Linked DNA regions of Drosophila melanogaster. The protein of the gene in region 3 purifies or fractionates together with the protein of the main gene of each other region. This does not show direct contact. Each region holds a gene or a part of one and is shown on either strand. Other genes may lie near its edges.

Region 1 (4,119 bases), on a different chromosome or scaffold from region 3:
TTAATGAGTTCGAGTAGTGCATCTGGTGAAATATCCTTAAATCGGAAATTAAGAAAACTCTATGAATGCAAATTCCAGATACATAAGGCTATATATAGTTTTATATTTAAGCTTCAAGTTTCATATGAATGCTGATGCGAATCTTATTATGAAAGCGCACGTCTTGCCAGAGTACAGATGGCATAGTTCTTCTGCAGATAAATAATCAGTTAATAAACACCAACTGGTTATTGGCGGATCAAATGATAATCAACCGCCGATGATTACCTTCACCTTTTTCACTCCACGCCCACAAATTAGCCAGATCGATTATTGTCAATCAAGTGGCGTGATCTCGACGAAGTGCTCTCTACCCATCAATTTCCATAACATTCATAACTAATGGAAACCATAATTACCCATACTTGGAATCAATTTGAAAGTGAATGTGTTCTGATCAGAAATGCCAATCAACTAATTAATTGTAAGATAAAACAGAATAATCAAATTAAAGATCAATCTATGTTTTCAGTTCCTTTCTGTGCAGTAAAAAAACGAAATATTTGAATTTTTATAATTCTCTACATTTTGTATTTATAGCATTGTCAGCCGTTTCAGCTTCAAACTTATAGTATACACAAAATTATTATAATACATGTGTTTTTTTTTATTATTTTTTTTTACATTTTGTTCGTTTTTCTTCATCTTTTCAGGTTGGTTCTTCTTCGTGGGCGTGTGGCAGGATGGGCGTTTGTTCCTCACTCGATGTTTTCATTATTTACAATTAAAGAGAAGGTTGATTAACAAACAAAAGAGAGAATTGCGCGAAAGCTGAGACAGAGACGGCAATGTGTGTGTGTGTGTGTGAGGGAGACAGAGGCTGCCGGGAAAGTCCGGGGAATCCACGGCAGGACATGATGGACATGACTGTGGTACTGAGTATTTTAGCAGGCTTCGTCAGTGGATCGATCAGCCGTTTTGTGAGGTCGTCAACGTGCTTAATAAATTACAGAAGAGTGGTGTTAGCGGTGCAGGTGGTGCTTCAGGTGGTGCATCCAGCGGACTGCTCCACTTCCTTAGTAGTGGGCCACATGCGCGTGAGCGTTGTGGGTGGCGTATCCGTAGGCGGGCACCTGATGCGCCAGGGATCCGGCGTAGGGCACGGCGGGAGCGGCGGCCACATGGTGGGCAATGGCTGGGGCATAGGCCGGAGCGGCATGGACCACGGCGGGAGCGGCGTGGGCAACCACAGCGGGAGCGGCGTGGTGCACAGTGGGGCCGGTCTTGTGGACGACGGCGTTGAAGCCATTGTGGTCATCGGCGGTGTACTCCACGGTGCGCACCGAACCATCGGGCTCCACCAGAGAGTAGGATCCCTTGACGACATCACCATCACGCACTTCGTGCTGCGACTTCACGTCTCCGGTGTGAGAGTCAGCCACTCCGTAGTTGTAGTGGTACTTGGGGTAGGCCTGCGGATTGGCGTAAAGATTCCATGAGAAGAGTACGGGCCTGCTAGGATTGGGTGCTAATTTTATGTGCATGCCACACGCCACTCGAAGCAGCTGGCCATGCTAATGAAGCTAGCGTGGGAAAATGGCTAAATGGCAAATGCCACAGTGACCCTGGGCCACCAGCATCCACAGAGGAGTGGGTGAGAGGTTGTGCGGACTGATGGTGTCAGTTTTAGGGCATATTAAGTATAATTTTATGATTGCATGAACAGCCGGTAGGCTGTATAACTTTTTCGGGCTTACAGGTCGTATGAGTAATGTTTGCGGGAGGGATTACGTGTCGTATAAGTAATTTTTATGAGTCAAGATGCATGCATTTCTTAGCTCTGGATGGTATTGTAGTCGTTTGATTTTAAAAGAGCAATAAACTCATGATGCACATTTTCAATTAAGAGGAAGCTTTTCAAAATGTATGTTTTAAACAAGTCAAATGGATTCCAATAGTAGGACATTGATTTTCTTTAAGAGTTAGTAATCCTCATATGCGCTACTTTGAAAGTTAATCCTTTTTGGGTTATCTTGCCCACTTACATGGTAATCGATTCCCTCGTCGTGGTGACCATGGCCGGCATAGATGGCCGGGGCGGCGGCGTAGAGACCAGCACCATGTCCGTGGAGGACTCCGGCGGAGGCGGCGCTCAGGACGGCCAGGCAGATGAGGGACTAGATCACAGGGGATAGGGGTTTGTTTTATTAGTTTGCTATTTCGATTGGATCACAGGGCACTTTTGGCTGTCACAGGGCTGTCCTGTTCACTCACTTTGAAGAATGCCATTGTTTGGATTTTTGGGATTTTGTTTCTTGCAGACGCGAGTGTGTGCTGTACGTTGAGCTGGATTCAACTGATAACTAGAACCAAGAAGGAAGCCGCTTTTATATACAAGACAACGCCCGAGCGGCCCAAACCGAGCCGAGTCACAAAAAGCCGAATGCCAGTCGGTCAGCAGGGGCAAAAACAAAACTACAATGAAATACCAGCCAAAGCCGAGCTTTGCGGAGCGAAGCCCAAGAAGTTGAGGCCCCCACAACGCCCCTGCAACGCCCCCCCTTCCCCACCAACAATTCACAATTATTTAATGCTTTTCAGCGAAAAAAAACGAGAGTGAAGTTCAGTTCAGATGTGGAGCGACTGTTGGCTGGCTGTGGTTTGTCTTTGGAAATTGTCTGATTTCTGAGATAACCGGCGATGTATGCAAATCGAAGTCGAAATAATTGTGAAATGGAAGGGAAAACCTCACTTAATGCGAGTTCTATCTGCTGAAATCAATACTCGTATTAACATATCAAATTGGCCATTATTAAGGCGTATTAATTATGAAATCATGATCGGAAAAAAGTTGGCTATCTATATATTACCATCTCCCATCACGATTTAATTGAAATGGCCTTTGCAAGCTCTAAACTACCTAGCAAAAACAATCTTCGCGCACGAATAAAATTAGCCGTAAACACAAATATTTATGAAATAAAAAGACAATGGCTGAAATAAGTTAAAATTGCATTTCGGTGGGCGGCGGTGTTGCAGCCCCCTCCTGAAAATCCCCATGGTTTTTTTCTGTTGCATGTTGCAATTTGTTCGCTCGTCTGTTTCGTGGGCTTCAAGTCGAAGTTTTCTATGTTCTACGTTTTCTGTGCCTTATTTTGCTTGCAGCGGGCGTCGTCTGTCAAATCTTTTGGTTAATGTGATAGTACACTGCCAAAAATGGTTTGAGGTATTGTAGATTAATTTCGAAGTCTTAGTAAAACATCAGTGGTATCATTCCACTAAAACGAGCTACTGACTCATGAAATCCCATAAATCTTGAGATATTTTTGCAATACTTTTAACTAAAGTCAGCAAGTGGCTTTGTTCTTCAATTGTTTTCCAGTGCACTGACTGTTGTTCCTACTGACACTTTTTTAATTGCCATGTAGGCCGTTTTGCTTATTAAACCCATCTGGGAAAGACAAGAGGGGTGTGCTATGGGGAGGCCACCACCCGAAGACGCTGTAGAAACGCCTTTGAAGTGGGGCGCAGCGTGGCGCCACATCATTATGGCCAAAATAGACGCCAGTTCAGCCCCAACTCATTACCAGGCCAAAACTACGAACAGTAAAAAAGCAAAAGCGTTTGGTTTTGTCATATTTTTGAGGGCTGCCTTGCTTTGTTTTACGGCATATTTGCGCCAGGCTTATGCTACGTACTTGCCCTGCTTCGACTCATTTAATAAATTGTCTCGAATTAGTAGCTCGGCTCTGACATTCCCCCTTTGGTGCCCCCCCCCCCCCCCCCCCCTCTGAGCCACCATTTATGCCAGGCTGGCCATCGCGTACTACAAATTGAAGTAATCATCTCAAGGTTAGCACGACACAGCAGCAAACGACGTGTAACGGATCACTAACAGTTTTAATCTCAGCAGGGGCGTAGTTAAAAAAGAGGGTTTACTTATCCGAAAGTTAGTCCAGATTACTTTACACATGTTGATTTTCGTAGAATGGGCAGTTGGGAATGGTTAGTTGGTAAGTAAGTAGACAATGAGCTTCCTTAGAATTTAATTATATTTCTTTAAAGTTTCCCATCCCCCCTTTATGATATACCCCTCTAAATATTCAAACTGCATCTTTGAGTTTGCCTGAATTAGAGCAC
Region 2 (3,248 bases), on a different chromosome or scaffold from region 3:
TTTGTTGGCAATCAAAGTATTTTGGGCGTCGCTTGGGAAATGCGAATCTGAATCAAAATCGAATGTATGCATTGGATGGACGTTGCTCAATGGCTAGCAGACAAACAGAATGCAATTGGTAGGCCATTAAAATGCAATTACAGGCCACCAGAGTTTGGTGGTCAGCTGCAATCGGAACCAGCACGAATAAAACCAAAAATCCAAAACAACCGAGTGGGTGGCATATTTGGTTTTGTAGCTGCGGATCGATAGATAGCCACGCAATTTGGCATCCTGTTTGGTGTCAATCAAGCCGCCTTCGATTGAGATTTATGCGACAATTTGGTTAGCATTTGCATAACGCCACGGGTCGAAATCACGAGGTGTTGGCTTTGGTGAAGGGTTCGGCTTAGTTTTAGATTCGACTAGCACTAAGCCCCGTTGATATGCAGATTGTCCATTTGGGGTCCAATCAGCAACGATGGCCAGGGTCGCTGAGTCGAAAGAATTGTCGCCATCGTAATTGTTTATTAATTTATGACTCATAAACTTTAAGTCGGTCTTTGTTCGCCCTGAGAGAATTTCGATTTTTATACAACTCTTTGATTCAATACACCGATATTCAAGGCTCAAAACAAGCATTTTGCAATTCTTTTCGAGCCTCGTGTTCTGACTGATCCCGTGATATGATTTCAAAGCTGTTTCAGAATTAAGCATGGCTATTAGGAAATCTGGCAGGCCATTCGAAATGCGGCAAATATGATTTACCTATGTTTCCAATTGACTACGCTCCTTCCACCCAAGTTACGCATACGCCATGTGCGCGATAACAAATCAGTTAAATATTAATGCATGCAAAATATAGGCAAACCAGCTGCCGTCCAGCAGCCACCAAAATGACCAACTGCACCAATCTCCACTCTGTGTTTGTCAGTTATTAAAGTGAGTAATTTTTCATGGACCACTTGAGTTTATTTGCTGCGTGGAGAGGCAGCTCCGATTGATCATTTGCATCTGGACAACAACATTTTCCACACCTACGGATCTCTATATCTCTAATGAGCTGTCAGTCAGTCAGTCAGCTGATTGATAATAAAGTGCGTGTTTTCGGTTTTAGAAAGGATTTAGGCAGATATGCTTAATAGGCTTGCAGGCTTATATTTAAATAATTTGAACACGTGAATTCAACGGTTTTGAATAAAACACAATATTCATAGATAAATTTAAGTGCTCTTTCAAAGGAAATGTTACTTAATGGCCAATTTAGATCACTGGAATAATTGCAAAATTACTAATAGGCAAAACCAGATTTAGCCGTAGAATTTTCTCAGCTGGAAACCCCCAGAAGACAATTGTTCATTTCCACGACGAAATGAATGGAAATATAAAAGTTTCCGTTAGAGCAAAAGTCGCCGACAATAGCTGACGAAAAAAATACAAATTGAATTAAGTGCTCGTGGTGGTTCTCCATGAAAATCTTGGGGATTCGGTGGCTAAAATTGGCGGTGGCTCAGTGGCTCAAGCCAAAGCCGCCGCGTGACTGATCTCTTTCGCGATCTGCTGGTCGGCAAATGCACAAAGCTTCGGCTCTCGGCCGTCGAAAGGGGCGTGTTGGCTCTCCCTCTCCGCCGCTCTTTGGGCCAAGATTTGTCAGAATATTTCTCATGTTGCGGGTATAAATAACAGGGCTACTTGAGACGTCTAAGCATAACACATTCAGCTCTTCGGTCAAGAAGTCCAAACAACACAAAACCAGCAAAATGTTCAAACTGGTAAGATCAGGATTAAAGGATTACCGCTCGTATGAAGTTAACATAGAAGTTTCTTTTCCGCAGATTGCCCTCATCTCTGCCCTGTGCGCCGTGGCCAATGCCGGAGTAATCTCGCCCTACAGCCATGGATATGGACTGGGATACGGCGCCGCCTTGGCTCCGGCTTATGCCGCTCCGGCTGTGATCTCGCACGCCCCGATCATCAAGAGCTACGCCGCTCCCATTGTCGCCCACCCGGTGGCCACCTCCTATGCCAACACCTACAAGGTGGCCACCAAGGCCATTCCAGTGGTCCATGCCGCTCCTCTGGTCCATGCCGTGCCTGCTCTGCACTCCACCTCCACCTACCATGGATCCTATGGCGGCTACGGTAGCTACGGTCTGGGATACGCCGGCTACGGACACGGAGCCTACCTGCACTAAGGATCTGGATGTCGGAAAGGATACCAGCCCCCCGTTGACGACCCCGATTGAAGTGAGAACATTAAGCGGATAATTCGCATTTTGCTGCCGTCAAAGTGTTGAATTTGCATTTCGTAGTCAGAAGCGGAAATACAAATTGTGTACAAAATCCCTCAAAAACCCAGACACCCACTTGGAGACAGAGACAACTAGAGAACTAAGGACAACTAACGGGAGGCGGCGAGAGCGAGAGAGATTGATGAAGGATCAAGTTTCGTTGATTTTGTTATTATGGTGCAACTCCATGCATTGTGGCTTCATAACATTTTGTAAATAAACGATAAATGACTCTTTAAACGAATATGATGGCTTATTTCATTTACTGGTTGCTTATATATGTTAGTTTAAAAATATTCACTTGAAATTATGACGGATGGATATTTAAGATCCATATCCAAATATGCCTTACTACACACAATTCAATGAAATCTTTACGATACCTAACGTTTTGGAAGCAATATGAATTTTCAGAGTAATGTGGAAATATTTTAATTTGCCGTTTTAACACACACACATTTCGCAATGTAAGCCACTTAACTCAAAACTAATTGTTAAGGGGACAAATGTCTATTTATGAAGTGTGGAATTATTTTCAATTTAGTTTAGTTGAGCGTGAAGTGATCAGTTTTATTCGCATTTATAAGGATTCCAGATAGTATTGCTAGTTCGTAGATGCGAGCATTTCACAAAAAACTGCTTGTTCAATGATTTTCAACTGCGAACTTACCCCAACCATCCGATCGCCATTCAGCATTCAATTGCACTTCAAATTAATTTTACTTGAGCAACTTGCTCGATTCATATCGACTCCCGTCGGGTGTTTTGAAACTTGCAAGGAAAAAACCAAATACCAAAAAAAATTGTTTTATTGCAACGCCTTGCCCGGCCCACCTGCTCACTATACCCCCCCCCCCTCCTCTAACAATTATCATTGCGGGGAAACGAAAGACTCAAGCGACAAACGCGTGCGCCTGTCAACAGGTTGACCAGTGAAAAGTGCGTTGAAATATCTTTTTATTAATGGCCGGCCAACTG
Region 3 (3,241 bases):
AACAGTTGGACTCTGCTATAGCAAATCGAAAGATATAGGGGGTAAGGAAGTGCGGGGTTGATTCCATTTGATTTGTGGCTGGATTTCGCATTGAACGCAGTTGGGGACTTTGCGCATGCGCATGAACTTGACATTTCAGCATTCGATCCGATGGCTTTGCTCTAATCACACTTTATTATGGAGGAAGGGGTTGCATGCAAACAGCGTAGTGTCAATTTGAGGCAATGAGTCAATTAATTGTATTCGGAGGCGTAAATATGCGATGATAATATATTGAGAGCGAACGGGCTTTGTATACTAATAGATTGAGCCTGTGGGAATTTGTCAGGCAACATCTATTTATTTTAATTTTGGCTTGACCAAAACAAACTTTGTATACTTACATTATCATTAAATAAAGCTTTATCAAACGAAGAATATATATTATGTAATGTTCTGTAAAGCGGAAAAATTATAATGAGGAACCATCAAAGATTTGTTAGCAATAATGTTAATTTGTCGCAATTTTATTTATATGTGGGTATTTAATATTCCCAACTTCGCAATATTATTTACACATTTCCCAAAATAAAACGTTTATACTTTAGTTACATTTTCTTTATTGGCATTATGTAGATGTACAAGCATTTCCTTCCAGAATGCACTTGGCATTCCGTTCGAAGAAAACTTGTGATGGTTTTTTCACAGGATGCTTGGAAAATGTATGCTAAATAAATAGGTAAGCGAGAGAAATAGGCAACCACAAACGTGGCCGGGTGCTTAGGTCGGAAGAGAATTTTGATGACTCCTTTTTTTCGGGACAGGTATGAAAGGATCCTGTTCAGGTGCTAGGTGCGAGTACCCTGTCTATATATGGCTATATATACAATGTATTTACATAACGTGTTGAGGGGTCTAAAGTTCGACTTCCCCATCAATGGCAGTATCCGTGGCAGAGGCAATGGTCCGATCGACAAAGGGATTGAAGGCGGTATACTCCTTACAAGGTTCCGGGTGCGGGAGCGGCATTGATGGAGGCCACCGACTGGATGTGTCCGGCCAGAGGAGCGGTGTGAATGGCACCACGGGTCTGGGCAGTGTAGACGCCACTGTGAGCCACTGGGGCCACGACGACTGAGGGAGCATGAGCAGCAACCACAGCGGGAGCAGGGGCAGCAAGCACGGCAGGAGCGGCGGCGTGGATCGCTGCCGGAGGCCACGAAGCCACGTTCACGGCAGCAGGCCAGTGGGCGGCGGGAACGGCCCAGGGAGAGGCCACCACAGCGGGTCCGGAAACGGCGGTGTAGGACAGTCCATGTCCAGCCACCTGGGACAGCAGGGGGATCACAGACGACTGCACGCCCATGGCGAGGGCCAAGGTGAAGATAACGGCGACGGCGAACTGTATAATGCAAAATATATTGTTTAGTCTTATGAGTAAAACTTCCTTGTTGAATTACTAATATTAATCCAAGCTATGTTGTTGTTAATTATCAGGATAAATCCGTTTGATAACTCACTTTCATGGTGCTGTTTGTGGGTTTTGGGTTGCGCTCTGGTTGAACTCTTGTTCTGAACTGATCTGTCAACGGAGCTGCCGGCCAGTTTTATACCCAACTGCTGACCACATCAGCAATAGAAAACCGCCAAGTCGGAGGGTTCATGAAAGTGAGAGTTCACACACCATGACATGGTGGACACGGCTGACACTGCTCCGCATGCATATGATCAGCTGTAATGACATGCCTCGGATCTGAACGGATCGTATCGTATCGAATCGGATCAAACGGCTAGGTTGAACGCCTTCAAAGCGGTTGAATTCAAGAACTAGTTCTACATCTACAATACTTTGTTATTAGCTTATTGTACTAATCGAAATACGTACATTTATTTTCTAAAGAATAAAAAAATAAATGAAGAAGAGAGGATTGTGACAAGAAGTTAGGTTACCTAATTTGTATCTTTAAGGTGGGGTTTTTAACAATAACCCTCTCAAAAATGAACTAACTCGGTAGTGAACCTCTATTTCCGCACCACTCAAACATGCACCACCACAGAAAATGCATTCTCAGTGAGTGTGTTTCCATCTCCGTGGCCATGTGGGTCCAACTGTCTAAGTGAATGGCCCAACCCACTTTTCAGCTGCAGTTCCGGTAAGTTGATTTTCACTCCATCACACCGCCACTTTAATTACTTAATTGTTGTTTGTGCGCGATTAGCATTTCAGTATGATTTATAACACGATTCCAATTATGGAGCGATCCGTATCCTGTATAAGGCCGGCTAATATCTGATTTATGTGTCTTAAGGGTTAATGATATGCGAGGAACAGCCCACTTTATCGATCGATATTGAAATATAATTATGGGAAAATTAAGAGCTGAAATATATTATTCCATTTGAACAGAACTGATCTATAAATCTGTTTCTAATATTTTAAAGAGTTAATATTAAAATTTTAAGCCGAATAACAAAAAGTAGATTATAATCAATTGGACTAGTGTAACTATTTAGAATTCGAATCCAAGAGACAAAAGTTTGCAATTCGTTTCATGACATCTACAAATTCGTGTGTGCATAAGCCGCTTGTTGGCTATAAATTAACCAAAACTTGCAATTAACACAGCTGAAAGGCATTCCAGGTTAATCCGCTTTTCCAGGCTATTTCCCTAATTATTTCCACCTCCGATTACCTAATGGAATCGACATTGCGCAACATTCAATTGTCTGAAATGGGTCTGGAGCGTGGGTTACTGCAGCCCGGAACAGCCCACATAAATATATCGCAAACCCATTAGGTGCCGCAATTAAGTCAGACTTTAGTGCAAATTGAACCCAGCAAAGACAATTCAATTATGCCCAAAAAAAACTGCATGAGGGGAAAAACTTGTTTCGATGCTAATGTGGGTGAGATCGATTGTCGAGTCTTGGCAAAATCTCTGAGACACCAAAAACACCAAAAAAGTTCAAGTTGAATTCTTTCGGTGCGATGATAATCTGTAATTAGCGACTACTATAATTTACTCCATGTGCCAATTATTTTCCTATACCAGAAGCCCAGGTGCTGACTAAAATTGAAACTTGGTCTTTGTGCGATTTGTAATTAGCGCTAAGCGTTTGCATAATTAAGCATACGCCCTGTGGCCCAATACGTGCATATGATCTGGCTTTGTACCAATTAACTCGATCTAATGACCATTGGCCCCCAGCTTGACTACCGTTCAGCTGTGGCCGATAGTACTGCCAAGCAAATTAGGATTGT
Region 4 (5,195 bases), 7.3 Mb from region 3:
TGTTTTTTATATTTTCATTTAAGTCTTAAACGGTAGCCGCATTATGCGTAGCTCAGAAGTTATCTCCTCTTGTCGAGTGATTAATTTTAATTTTTTTTTTTCGCTTTTATTGCTGAATAATTTTTATTTACTGCTTGCAATCGATAAATTTTTGTTGTTCGAAAAAGGGCATTTCATGTTGGCCATTCCCGTGCGGCCTGCAGTCGTTGACCGCTTTGAACTGACCTTGCCGCGCGAATTTTCGTTAATTTCAACTTTGTGGTCACCGCTTTGCTGCACTGGTCCGGGATGCTGTTGTTTATGTTTTTCAGACTTTTCTGGTTTTTATCGCCCATCAAGGTGATAGGTTTGCATATAAATGACGCTAGAACAAAAGACTTTGGCGACGAACTCGTGGTGACTAAACATGTGTACGAATTCACTGTGAGAGCAGTCAAAAGAATTGGTTTGCCCCAAGATATTTATTTTAATGGGAATGAATCATTGGACTGCGTAGCGGAAGTTTATTCGTAGCTAGGGAATCGATTATGATGAAGTCCGTTTGCCAATAAGCAAAAAAAAAAAACTAAACACCAGTTTTAAAAACCTTTTTCGAAGCATTTTTAACATAAAGTAAATATTTCAGTAGTTTAGATACTTCCTTTATAAATTGCATGCTGTAAAAATAGTTATACGACTTTAGAAGTTTTTCAGCCAGCTTTAAGCACCACATTTTTTTCCAAACACAGAATAATACTTTTTTAAATCCAAAGACTAAGTACATCGGCTAAACTCTAGAGAGCCTTACGTATAATGAATTACTGATTTTACAGCAATATTTACATTTTTGTTTATGTATGTTTTTATGGCTAATTTTGCACATCATAAAAGATTCACTACTAAGGCAAAGACAACAAGATCTAGCATACTGCGGCTGAAAAGTGGCTTTGGCGTCGACCAGCCAAATTTGCAACTGTCGAGATTCACAAGTCGGATGGATTGACTGGACATAAACAGAGATCACGGAGGCTAACTTGGTGATTTGGCTTGGCGTTGGTGCGTGGCACGGTAGTCGCTAGTAAAAATTCAATTAGCAAATTAAATATTAATTACCAGACGGGTCTCTATGCTAATTGAATTAGCAATAGTAGCAGCTGGCAAATAACTAAATAAAGGAAAAAGTATTGGGGGTTTTTAAGTTGGAATGCTGCGAAGATGGAGTTTTTGAGGATTCGTTTTAATATTATCCAATATTTGGCACCTATTTTTTCTGACATAATTGTTTAAATTAAAGAATGTTGTATGAAAAGTGGAAATTGCAATTTAAAATTTGAAATTTTGATATTATAACGATTGCATTTTTGATTATACAATGCAATTACGTTTCATTAAGTTTTATTTTGGTTTAATAATAAATGTCTCATTTTAACATACTACCTTATAAATAAATCTTTTGTTTTTATGTCCAGTAATGCATTATACATTAATATTTTAAGTGGGCCTTAATTTATATCAACCAAATTAAAATGTCAGATGATAAAATTACGTTTGAGAGTTTTATTTTGTTTCCTTTTTTGTAACAATGCAAGTTCTAATATTTTCGGAGCACAGCTGTTTATACTAATATTATTTCTCCTCGTGACAGGTGCCAATGCTATTCTCGCCCGGCTGATTAAAGTATATAATTTGCCGCTCGGCTGTGAATTTAGTGTGAGGCCAGGCCCAAGATGAACCAGTTTGCGGTTGGAAAGTGTGGCAGCCTAGAGTCGGACAAGGTCCCTGATCAGGAATAGCCCTGGCGATATAGCCCAAGTTCCCTGTCGGATTTTTTGATATTTTTTATTTTAATAATTTTTTTTTTGATTTTCTGACTTTCCGACATGACTGCTTCATAAATTCACACTCACTTAAGCCTGCAATTAGCGGTCGAGCAAAAAGCTCCCATCGCTTTGGAGCTTTGGCGCTCTGTTGCTCTCTTTTGGGAAGGTTTTGTCTTTTGCTCACCGCTCTCGGCGTTCAGTTGATCGACGGCAAGCTCTCGAAACGGACGCAGATTTTTGTAAGTCGCCGCCGCGCCTGCGCATTTTAAATCAGTTGCAACAAAAAAACAACGAGAGGCAGCGAAGACGAAATCGAATTGTGTTTTTATTTGTTTGCTTTTGTTTTGTCTGTGTGTTATGCCATGCACAAAACCACCGTGTTCGTAAAAGTGGAGAAAAATCAAAAATCGAAAATTCAAGCCGAAATAAGTTTGCCAAAACAAAAAGAAACCGCAAAAGCCGCGTTATAATAACGCAAATAACGGTATTAAGTTTGAAGCTCATCTAGTTATTTATGCTTTGCTCCTCGTGGTTGTCTGCAAAAATAAAACAAAAAAGCTTAAAACAAACAACAGTGTCGAAAAACCTTAACAATTTGCGCGCACATAAAATATAATTAAAGCCAGCAAATTTTTGCCTTAAACATAAAAAAGTTAATCAACTTGGTTGCAATTAAATGTTGCAATTTATTTTTTTGCAACTAAAGTGCGAAATATTCAGTGCAATACAATAACAAAAATAAATAAGTTTCTCTGAAGCAATACAAATAAAAGTTTCTCTGTAGAAATATAAATAAAAAAATACCAAAATCCATATTATCAAAAATTCAATAAGATATGTAAATAAATAGTTTGGTATACTCAAGCAAAAATAGAATGCTGAACAATGGATAATAAATTATTTATTTTTTTGGGTAACAAACTGATTGCCGAGACTTAAAAGACACCGAGAACTAAAAATAAAATATGATAGATCAAACAAAAAAATTCCCAAACATCTAAAGAGGGAGTCCGCCATTCCTCAAACGTATGTGTGATGGGTGTATGTGTGGGTGGGAGCGGGAAAATTGTGTTGGTAATTTCTAATGCACATTTTCCCTTTAGTATTACCCAACACAATGTTTTATTACCCTTACAGGAGTAACAGGAGTAACTAAACCTTTGATATTTCGATATTTATTAAAACATGAAAAAGAAAATTGATTATAACAACTTCCAGCAATTTTAAACCTTTTTTTTGTATTTTCCGCGAAAGCGTACATAAAGAGCGTATTTTTTTTAATACCCCTTCCTTTTACTGTATTTTCCTGCCTGCCCTTTTAGTTGTCGTTGAATTTGTATGACGTGTGTGCATCAGGTTGATTTTTGTGATGCGTTTTGCCTATGTAATTTCCATGTCAGGCGTTGGGATTACTTCATCTCCCGTTTCATTTCCTATATGGCCAGATGATTCAAACCAAACTGACCAGCGCAAAAATGAAAACAAAAACTACTGCTACAAAAAAACTAAAAAAAAAAGTTGCACGAAAAAGCCGGTTGAAGGCAACTCTTACATATTTACACGCACCAGCGCTCATTGAACACACGCCGCCAGCAGCAACAACAAAGCTAGCACGGGAAAAAATTGTTTTAAACAGTTACTAATATTTTTATTAATATATTAGTAAGGATTATATTGATAAATAACAGTACTACAAAAAGTAATATCAAGATATTCATAATATTCATATATGACATAAATCATACAATTCCGAGTAATTATTTTCTCTCACTGCATTACAGCAACAGCAACAAAAGCAATATCAACAGGGCGACACAGAAACCTGTTGTTGTAGCTCTTGGTGCCTCTCTTGCTGTCTCTGTCTCGTCAAAAGACATTTGCAGAGTTTCCAGCTGCGTGTTGATTATGTCAATTTCATGTTTACTTCATTTCCTCAATCCACCGGCAAAGGTGTTAGAGAGAGGGGTATAGTGGGCGGAAAGGGGTGCGCCAGCAATTTCACTTTCGTTGGACTTGAAAATAAAAGCTGCAGTCTCTGTGGCAGTGTGAGCGAGTGCGAGAGAGAGAGAGAGAGAGAGATTATTGGAGCAAGATGGAAGGAGGTTGGAGCTTGGGAAAGAGAGCAAGTGAGAGTGAGAGTGCGCACAGCAAGTGTGCTGCATACGGTACTTGGATGCTGGTGCTGCTGATGCCTCACTTGCTTTGTGGGGCGTTGCTGCACCGTGGGTTATTGCTATTTAATGTTCTTGAGCATAAAATTGTGGATCGTGACTTTGGGCTCAGCAAATAATTCGTTTCACTAATCCGTATTGTTTCATATATAATATATTTTAAAAACCAGGTGACTAGTCACAATAACTAACTAACTGACTAGTTACAATAAAAGTTTTACCCAATTTTTTCAGATATTATGATGAAATCTTAAAAGAAGTGATACCAATTAGAATGGCTAAGCTCTGAGATATTTGAAGATTATTATTATTATTTTTGTTTATGAATTGTTATACTCTCAGTTTTCATATTTGCTTGAAAAGTTAGTTTGTTGATGTTTTAAGAACAATTATATGAATTTTGCAATGTTCATACGTCAATATAAGGATTATTATGTTACCATCCTTTTAATAACTGTACCACTGTGCGCCGGCGTCTTTTGTGTGCTACTCGTCGCATATTTTCCGTTTCGTTTTGTAACTGTAATGTCTGTTTTTCCCATTGTCCGATTGTTGCTGGTTGTCGCTTTTGTTTTGCGCTTATAACGTAATAACGTAATGTGCTCGAAGATTTCCACATGCGATGCGTCGCACCTTACGTTTTGGTGCCAAGTCCATCGCCGACGTCGACGTTCATTGTTTTTGCAGGCAATTGAGCCAATAAACTGACGCGAATCGTAGCGACTTACAAATTCCTGTCCGAAAAATATGCGAAGGTCAACCAGAGGGGCAGCACCAACAACCACAACGATATCGAATCCATAACAAAATAGTTGAGAACTCCCGCAAGTGGAGTTTCATACGAGTATGTTTGGTATTCGCACCTTCAAACATGATTTCACGGACTGTCAGCTTGGCAAAAATTCTAATTATAAATGAAACAATTTATTACCGGGTTTTTAAAATAAAATGCAATTTATGTGCAAAGTCTGGCGGCGGCGGCGGACTTGACTAGTTAAACCGGTTGACTGCCAGCAGCAGCAGCAGCAATGAAAAAAAATGGAAAAAGAACCATTGACTCAATGGGGGTGCAGTCAGCAACAGCAAATTGCAACTGCAAGGAAAACATTTTTCTTAAATATACGGAATTAATTAATAGAAGTTAAACAAAGGATAATTTCTTTAATAAATTCTAAACATTTATTTATTACGGCAGTGGTGAATTCGACAAAAAAAATTATAATTT

What was found.
Region 1: the proteins of Acp1 (region 3) and Cpr62Bc purify together in Drosophila melanogaster (affinity purification with mass spectrometry, with the first as the bait; one large-scale study listed by BioGRID). This does not show direct contact.
Region 2: the proteins of Acp1 (region 3) and CG4962 purify together in Drosophila melanogaster (affinity purification with mass spectrometry, with the first as the bait; one large-scale study listed by BioGRID). This does not show direct contact.
Region 4: the proteins of Acp1 (region 3) and mol purify together in Drosophila melanogaster (affinity purification with mass spectrometry, with the first as the bait; one large-scale study listed by BioGRID). This does not show direct contact.

Annotation. Positions count from the first base shown.
Region 1 is NT_037436.4:1,839,737-1,843,855, forward strand, and holds Cpr62Bc (cuticular protein 62Bc), read right to left. Parts: upstream 2,349-4,119; 5' UTR 2,269-2,348; coding exon 2,254-2,268; intron 2,157-2,253; coding exon 2,025-2,156; intron 1,452-2,024; coding exon 1,056-1,451; 3' UTR 545-1,055; downstream 1-544.
Region 2 is NT_037436.4:16,293,975-16,297,222, reverse strand, and holds CG4962 (uncharacterized protein), read left to right. Parts: upstream 1-1,675; 5' UTR 1,676-1,739; coding exon 1,740-1,751; intron 1,752-1,814; coding exon 1,815-2,174; 3' UTR 2,175-2,512; downstream 2,513-3,248.
Region 3 is NT_033779.5:7,739,977-7,743,217, forward strand, and holds Acp1 (adult cuticle protein 1), read right to left. Parts: upstream 1,562-3,241; 5' UTR 1,506-1,561; coding exon 1,500-1,505; intron 1,382-1,499; coding exon 980-1,381; 3' UTR 586-979; downstream 1-585. UniProt on the Drosophila melanogaster protein: Component of the cuticle of the adult fruit fly. Could be involved in thickening of the hard adult cuticle.
Region 4 is NT_033779.5:14,994,359-14,999,553, reverse strand, and holds the start of mol (moladietz), read left to right. Parts: upstream 1-1,994; 5' UTR 1,995-2,038; exon of another isoform or gene 2,039-2,840; intron 2,841-5,195.